2 linked regions of the Styela clava genome follow. Each later gene encodes a partner of the first gene's protein in a complex. Links are inferred from orthologs where the notes say so. Each region holds a gene or a part of one and is shown on either strand. Other genes may lie near its edges.

Evidence for each region.
Region 2: E3 ubiquitin-protein ligase RNF113A-like (region 1) and armadillo repeat-containing protein 7-like share a complex: the UniProt entries of both Homo sapiens proteins name them as parts of the minor spliceosome. The link is inferred for Styela clava from reciprocal best matches to the Homo sapiens genes RNF113A and ARMC7.

The regions. Positions count from the first base shown.
Region 1 is NC_135251.1:22,359,475-22,363,232, forward strand, and holds the start of E3 ubiquitin-protein ligase RNF113A-like, read right to left. Parts: upstream 2,126-3,758; 5' UTR 1,981-2,125; coding exon 1,960-1,980; intron 1,456-1,959; coding exon 1,324-1,455; intron 747-1,323; coding exon 636-746; intron 74-635; coding exon 1-73. Other genes in the region: protein SDA1 homolog, read left to right, coding at 2,270-2,353, 2,859-2,963, 3,536-3,634, 3,722-3,758. UniProt on the Homo sapiens protein: Required for pre-mRNA splicing as component of the spliceosome. As a component of the minor spliceosome, involved in the splicing of U12-type introns in pre-mRNAs. E3 ubiquitin-protein ligase that catalyzes the transfer of ubiquitin onto target proteins.
Region 2 is NC_135259.1:3,197,650-3,201,407, forward strand, and holds the start of armadillo repeat-containing protein 7-like, read right to left. Parts: upstream 2,645-3,758; 5' UTR 2,584-2,644; coding exon 2,509-2,583; intron 2,306-2,508; coding exon 2,189-2,305; intron 1,513-2,188; coding exon 1,280-1,512; intron 940-1,279; coding exon 792-939; 3' UTR 1-791. Other genes in the region: transmembrane protein 14C-like, read right to left, coding at 3,376-3,439, 3,633-3,720. UniProt on the Homo sapiens protein: As a component of the minor spliceosome, involved in the splicing of U12-type introns in pre-mRNAs.

The DNA.
Region 1 (3,758 bases):
GTGCATCCCTGTCTTTTTCTGTGTCTAGTTCATAAGTCCTTGTTGCTCCCATATCATCAGGTCCTGATGGTTTCTAAGTGAAATTTAAAAAAAAAAATGACTGAATCATAAGCTTCTTACAAAGGAATTGTCATTCTAGCAAAAGAGTGTACTTGATTAAATATCCTGATACGGGAGCGGTGCATAGTGCTAAGAAATGAGTACGTACTCGTCATCGCACCTCTGATTACACTGCAGATTTGAATGAATCCTGTGGGAGACGACTATGTGTGAGAGGATATTTAGACATATGATTAAATCGTCTTTCCTCTTACCAGGATAATTATAATGGAAGTCCTGCCCAATTGAATCAACTAATTATAGTGCAGAAAAGGTAGGAAAGTACTACTTAAAAAAGTCTGCAAGAATTGAATTTTATTCAAATATAGGATAGGATTTACATATTTATACCGGGGTATATAGGGGTCATTTTCAATTTTCAGCCAGGTATATAGTAAACTGGTAAGAAAACGAGTTAGTTGTTGTAAATTTATTACTATGGACAAGCCTAGTAGCGACTACTTGACATTCTAAGTAGGTTCTTTGACAATGGCTGACATGAAATAAATACACAAATCATATTTAAAACAACTTACAGCAGTCTTCGATGATTTGTAGGAAACACTGATTTTATTTTTATCGTCATCAGAACCTTCACCGCTACTACTGCTACTGTAATCTACTTTTTCTTTTGTGAACTTCGCACTCTGTAGATAAAAACACATTTTATGATATTAAAGGTTTCACTTGCTAAATTGTAGAACCTTACATAAAAGAATTACGGGAAATTAAAAAAAATCAGAGTCCAAAGTCAATTACTGAGTCGGGTCTCGCTGGCATTTAGTTGATAACTCCGAGTCAATTTCATTCAGACGGCTTTCCGTGGCTTATATAAATGGTGATTGTGTCAGGGACTCGGGTCTTCCAACATTGTAAATTATATGGAAGTGATGATGAATGAATGATCATTTTGTTTCATTCAATTATACAGACTCCACCGACTCCACCTGGCGTATCGATTGTGCTTCATCTGTGATAGAATAGCTTCATAAAAACATGACGATAATTTCTTGTACAGAGATGAATCCTATGACATACTGTGATACAAGAACAATATCTGAATATATTTACAACACCAAATTTCTGGGCAGTTATAGGTAAGACAGGAAAAGGTGGCAGGGCGATGTCCTATCCTAACCCAACACAGACAGAATCGAATAAAACAAAGCAGAAAATGAACGGCGGGGCAATGACAAAATATTACCGATCTATCTAACTACTCACCGATTGAACCATTGGATTCATCTTTCTCTTCTTCTCTTTCCTCACAACAGTTTCCTGGTCTTCTTCATCACTACTTTTTTTTTCAATTTCATCACCGCTGTCTTTTTTCTTTCTTCTATTCCTACCACGAAACTGCAAAGTGAAAATTTTATAAAGAATTAGGTTTTCGTGTATTACATTTTTTTGAATCAAAACTTAGTAAAACCGTCTAATCTGAGCGTTTTGTACAGTTTATGCTTTTAAGATGACAACACCTATTGCTAATATAACTGATTAAAAATAATAGTTATAACTGTTAGAAAAACACTTCTGAGTTCTGAGTCACACAAGTTCGGAGCATAAATGAGTAACCAAATTCAGAAACATTTAGAACACCAAAAACATTTTCTGATTTTAGATGAGTTATTCGAGAACTTGGATAAATGGACATATATTATAATTAAGTGCTGTATGGAAATATGTGCTTCAGGTAATAAAAAAATTTTGGTCAAGAAAATGATCAGTATATAGGAAGACTCATCTTGAACCCGGTAGAAAGCGACAATATTCTCAGATTGAAAACTAGAATTAATCGCAACTAAGGCTTTATCCTTGATTGGCAAATTAAAGTAAAATTCGTAAAAAAGAAAAGCTGACCTTTCCGGATTTCTTGAACATGTTTAGTTTTCTTCTTTTACACACTTTCTAAAGTTTTATTGTCTGAAACTTGACCAAAACCATCGCAACCCGCGCTTCGCAACGTTTGATTTACAACTTTCAGAGAAATTACTGCAGAGCTTAAAATTAACAAAATTTGTTTTCACTATTATGATGTCACACTTTACTCAAGTGACCGTGGCACGTGGTACACAGCTGATCTGATTCTGTGTGATCTCACTTCCCCAGCTGAATTACTGGCCCATCGGCAGCTCCTTTGGATATTTTGATTTGAAATATTGGTGCAGAGATGGGGAGAACAAATCAACTTCCATATAATTTACCGCAGCTTCAAAATTTAATCAAAAGAGATCCGGTTTCTTATCAAGATGAGGTGAGAGTACTTTAATAAATAAATTATCGTATCTACAAGACGGCCTAAGCTTCGCCCGTGAATTTTATTTCATCGTTTTAAGGTATGCTGTTTATGAATTTATTCTTTTCAGTATGATTGTGTTGATCCATGTCATGTGTTTTTTCACTTGTGTGGTTGAATTGGCACAAATGTTACAGCGTTTGCTATAAACATTTCTCTAGTTTTTCCCATTCTCCCGATCTTCCTGTCGTCATTGTCTGTGTATTTTATTTTTGTTTATTCATGTTCTGTGATGTAGACGAAAGATCAAAATGAAGTTGTACTGTATCTACAATGTCTATTCCGCACATCATGACATTAATACCTTCTGTATTTATCGCAAAATAATGTATTAATGGGCAGATTTGGGTACTGTGGTGTTACAATGCTGGATAATTTTAAGCTGATCTGATTAAATTTGTTGTGATATACCATCAGGATATACATATCTAGTCAAATATTTGTATTATATTTATGTTAACAGTTCGAGCAACAGTATCGGAGATATCAATCCAATATGAAATTGTTTCTTCTTCAACCAAATGAAGAATCGAAAGATCTATCGGAACTCATAACATTTATCGGCCAGGTCAGCAGGTTGTTTTTGCATGTTCTTGTTTATCATTTATGTGTATATTGCATATCGATAAATCTTGTATTCACTAGCTTGTTGTAGCGATAATTCGACATAGGCTGTGATGATGTCAAATTAAATATTATCAATACAAGAATAAATCCAAATTTTGATTTCGAAATGACCATTATTTTAACTCAAAATGGAAGTTTCTGGTGTCGGTGTGAATCATATCTATCAATTTTACTGTTATTTATGAAATTTTCAGAATCGATGTGCAGTGACTTTTACTCAAAAGTTTAAAATTTGCTGAAACTTTGACTTGACTTGAGATCAGATGACCCGTGTGACCTGACTTGATTTGAAACTTGGGGACTAGGGACTTGCACCCAACAGATTTAATTTATCTTAGAAAGAATTATGACTTGTAATTCTAATTTTCAAATATACATCCTCAGTCATCACCATCCTGGAGTTGCTTTTTTGGTAAAGCAGTAGTAATCCAGTCTCAATTCTATCATTATCTGATGTGCTGGCATGTTGAGGTTTTTATATACTAATGTTAAATTGTTATTTTTTATATTTAGGTAGCTCATTGCTATCGAGAGTTGGTAAAAGATTTTCCCAACCAATTACAAGAAATTCTTCAGAAACATGCACTCTCGATAAACCATGAAATGAGACTGGTCAGTATATTTTTAATGTTGATTATCAAAATGTAAAATTAAATACGCTTGCTATTCGATAAAATTAATTTTGTTTAAATATTTCAGAATTTCTGCAAAAGTTTGATGCTTCTTCGAAACAAGG
Region 2 (3,758 bases), on another chromosome or scaffold:
ACACTAACTTCCGGCCCATGTGTTTTTTAATATGAATTTCATTTTACAGTGAAGTATGCATTCAGTCATTCGGAATCAAATGTCACAAGAGTCAGCTACATGTGGCCAAAATCCCTTTCACACTCTGCATATGGTACCTTAGAGCAGGGCTACTCAACTATTTTTACTGAAGATCCGCATACAAAACTTCAAAAAAATTTGGGTCCGGTCTTTCCAGATTTCCATATTTTGGCATCCTCAAACACGCACTTCCTCGGCCGACTAATGATTATTAGCTAATCAGGATTGTTTATTATGGCGTTATAGTTCTTTTCATATATATTTAAATCCATAAAAGTTATTTTAGGAAAGGAAACTCAAAAAGTGGGGCTAATGATCCAAAATAAAGAATAAGGCGCGGTTCGAAACGAATACCCGGGAGGGCCGGATTCGGACCGCCAGTTGAGTAGCCCTGCCTTAGAAGCACAACTATCGGTGAAAAAGAGTGCAAACGAACATTACAACGTGCTAAAAACTAACAATCAAAGTTTTCATCCATTTCGGATGAATTGAGGGCAGTCTTTATACCAGTCGCTCCTATTTAGATCCCCGATAGTATTACTGCGGAGAAATACTGAAGTACTTTCATCAGGGGATCCTTATCCAAACAGTTTTCTTCAAACAAGCATTTGTATACTCAAGCCAACCATCACATTTTACTGGATTTGCTATACATTTGAGATCAATGCATGACAATGTCCAACAGCATTTAACAACTGAACCTTCTTCAGGTGAACCCTTCGAATTTTGCTTTAGGTATTCAATGACCTCTTTCTTCCTTTATTTTCACTCACACAGTAATCCTCCAAAAATACAGTGGCAAGATTTGAGATTCGATTATCCTCCGATTCTTTGAAAACTTTCAAATTTTTGACCAATGCAGGAGTTATAATCAAGTTCCTGTAATTGAAACACAATTCGACAAGATTGATCTTATTGCAAACGCGGGACTCTCATCCGGTTACCAGTCCATTTCGAGCTCTGGTTAGCCAGTTATTCTGTTTTCAAATGCATGGACTTGATTGCGGAGGTAGCAGTAACCAACTAGCATTACTTGAACCACCCTATGGCAGCGATAAGTCCATCTTCTTGCACATAATTATCCTCCAAGTGATGCAGATTCAGTGAACCATGTAGTGTAATCAGAGGTGCAGTGGCAAGCGTATTCCTATCATGATGCCCAATACCACTGAGCATCTTGGCCAATCTGAGTCCAATTATGGATCAATAACTTACCTACCTTGATTGTGGTAGAATAAGCTGCATCAATGTTGTCATTCCAGAAAGAACAGTTTCGGTATTAACACTATAAAGACATCTCATGATAAGTTGTACACTATCATCCCCATCCAGAACATAATCCCTGAACTTAGGATCTGCCGTTATATTACAAAGTCCTGCAATTCCAAACTCTGAAATTTTTGAATTAATGTCTTCATCATCTGTCAAACAATCGAGGAAAAGATCGACTACCTGGAAGATCAATGAGCGCTTTCAGATTTTTACACTTGGATTAGGATAATAGAACATGGCATTTGAATTTCATCATATCAATAATTCCATCTAAACTGGCAGAGGGAAGTAAATTTCAAACTGATTTGAGATTTACATGCGATAAATTCATGAAAGAGGCCTGCCCTTTGATGAAAATAAAACATTCCAGATTTCCAGGTCATATGGACTGATAATTGGCGATCTAAACTCGTAGTTCTTGCTGCGACAATTAAGCCAAAATATATTGAATAGGAGAAGAATAAATGGAAAAGTCTAAAGCAGTGGTTCTCAAATGGTGGGGCGCGCCCCACAAGGGGGCGTAGACAATTATTTGAGGGGGCTGTGAAGCTAATTTAAAATAAAAATATTTGTGAGATTTGATCTTGCTCACCTATTTTGCATATTTATATTTCCTTATTTTACGTTCCATCCACGTATTTTCAATGTGTTGTTTGAAAAAACATACTTTCTCCTTACTATCAGTTATTTGTAGCTTAATTATTTGTAGTCAATTATTATTTTTCAGGCTGGGGCGTGAGACTTGAAAAATTCCAAAAAGGGGGCATGGCTTAAAAAGTTTGAGAACCACTGGTCTAAAGCATGCTATATACTCCTCAACAAGGGGATTTTCATTCCACACAGTTGTTTAAAATACCTGCAATTTCCTCAAATATTCATAATTTATTGGATCATAGGCAAAATTAGCAAGATTCGCTAGAACTTGTTCTTTGTCGGACTCACTTTTTGTTTGCTGAAATTCAGTTACGAGAGCCTGAAAAATAATTAATCCCATTATCATATGTCCAAGGAATTTTAGCTTCCACATATATTTAACTATTATCAGACATTCTGGAATATAGGTTACTAAACTCCTTTCGAACAAATATAGAATACAATCCCCCAGTCACAATAATATAAATCCTATCCTAATTTCAAACGACTACCAACAAACACAATTGTATATGAGGATATCACCTGCAGATAGTCAAATCTGTTCAAATCTTTTTTCGGTCGAGTCCTTTGTTGTAACCTTTTATGAGTTGTGAACATTTCATGAAAATATTACAATATTTTTACTCAAGTAAACTGTGCTAAAACAATGTTGTCCAGGTTAGAAACATATCTAACTAGTATCCATTTCTAGTGTATATGAATTGGAATCAAGCGAATGTCAGGGAATGGTTTCCTATCTACATTAGCTCTGATATTCTAGTTGTCCACAGCATTGGTCAGAGTGGGCAAGGTTTTTGGACCAGGGGCCAAAATTTTGACCACCTAGACTAGCGGGCCATAAAAGTGTGACGTAAAAGTGTTACATAAGCAAAAGTGGAAAACAATAAGCCTTGTGCCAACACTAAATTTAATTGCAATCTCAACAAATTCCTCGAGCTCATCAGGCGGTCCAGATTGGGCCCGTGTCAGGGTTAGAGTGAACACCATATAATAGCAAATAGTAAAGCAACTAAAAGTACATTTTCAATTGTGACAGGGTTCATGAATAGGAAGGAACATGACAAACAAAATTTCAACAGGAATGTATTGTACTATTGTTGTCAAAATAGAACATAAAAATTCATTCATGACATGATTGACAAAAATGCTGTAAGGCAATCATAATTTTAAAAAATAACAAACAAAAAATCATAGAAAACAAATTGAAAAGATATTCCATCATTAGTTTCAGTCACTAGGGTGCAACAGAGCAGAAGCACACTTCAGAGTCCCATCATATTCTTATATATTTCATAATCTAAATAGTTCTCATTTCTCTCACTGGTTCGTTATATTGAGAAAGCTGGTTTATAGCAGCAAAAAAAGTAAAATGGAGAACAATGTTGGTGATTATTCCACTTTTCCTTGGTTACCAGTTGTGAGGTTACAAATACTCCGCACAAGGATTCCAGCACTAAAATAGTAAAAAAGAAGAAATTTGAGAATGAACAGATGAGGATTATTACAGAATGAGTGTTATAAACAAATAGTGCACACTCGAATAAATTTGTCCTGGCTGACAATTCATTGTTCAACGTAAAAACTTTTTTTTGTTCAAATGAGGGCTTGTAACCTAGCTAAACCTAACCATTCTAATAATATCTCACCTCAATAATGCAACAAGTCCGGCAGGCATAAACTTTCTTGACCCGTAGAATCTCCAACCCATCATTGCACCAAGTGATGCAGACACTCCTAAAAATAATTGAAAGCTTTTCAAGGAAATGGTATGG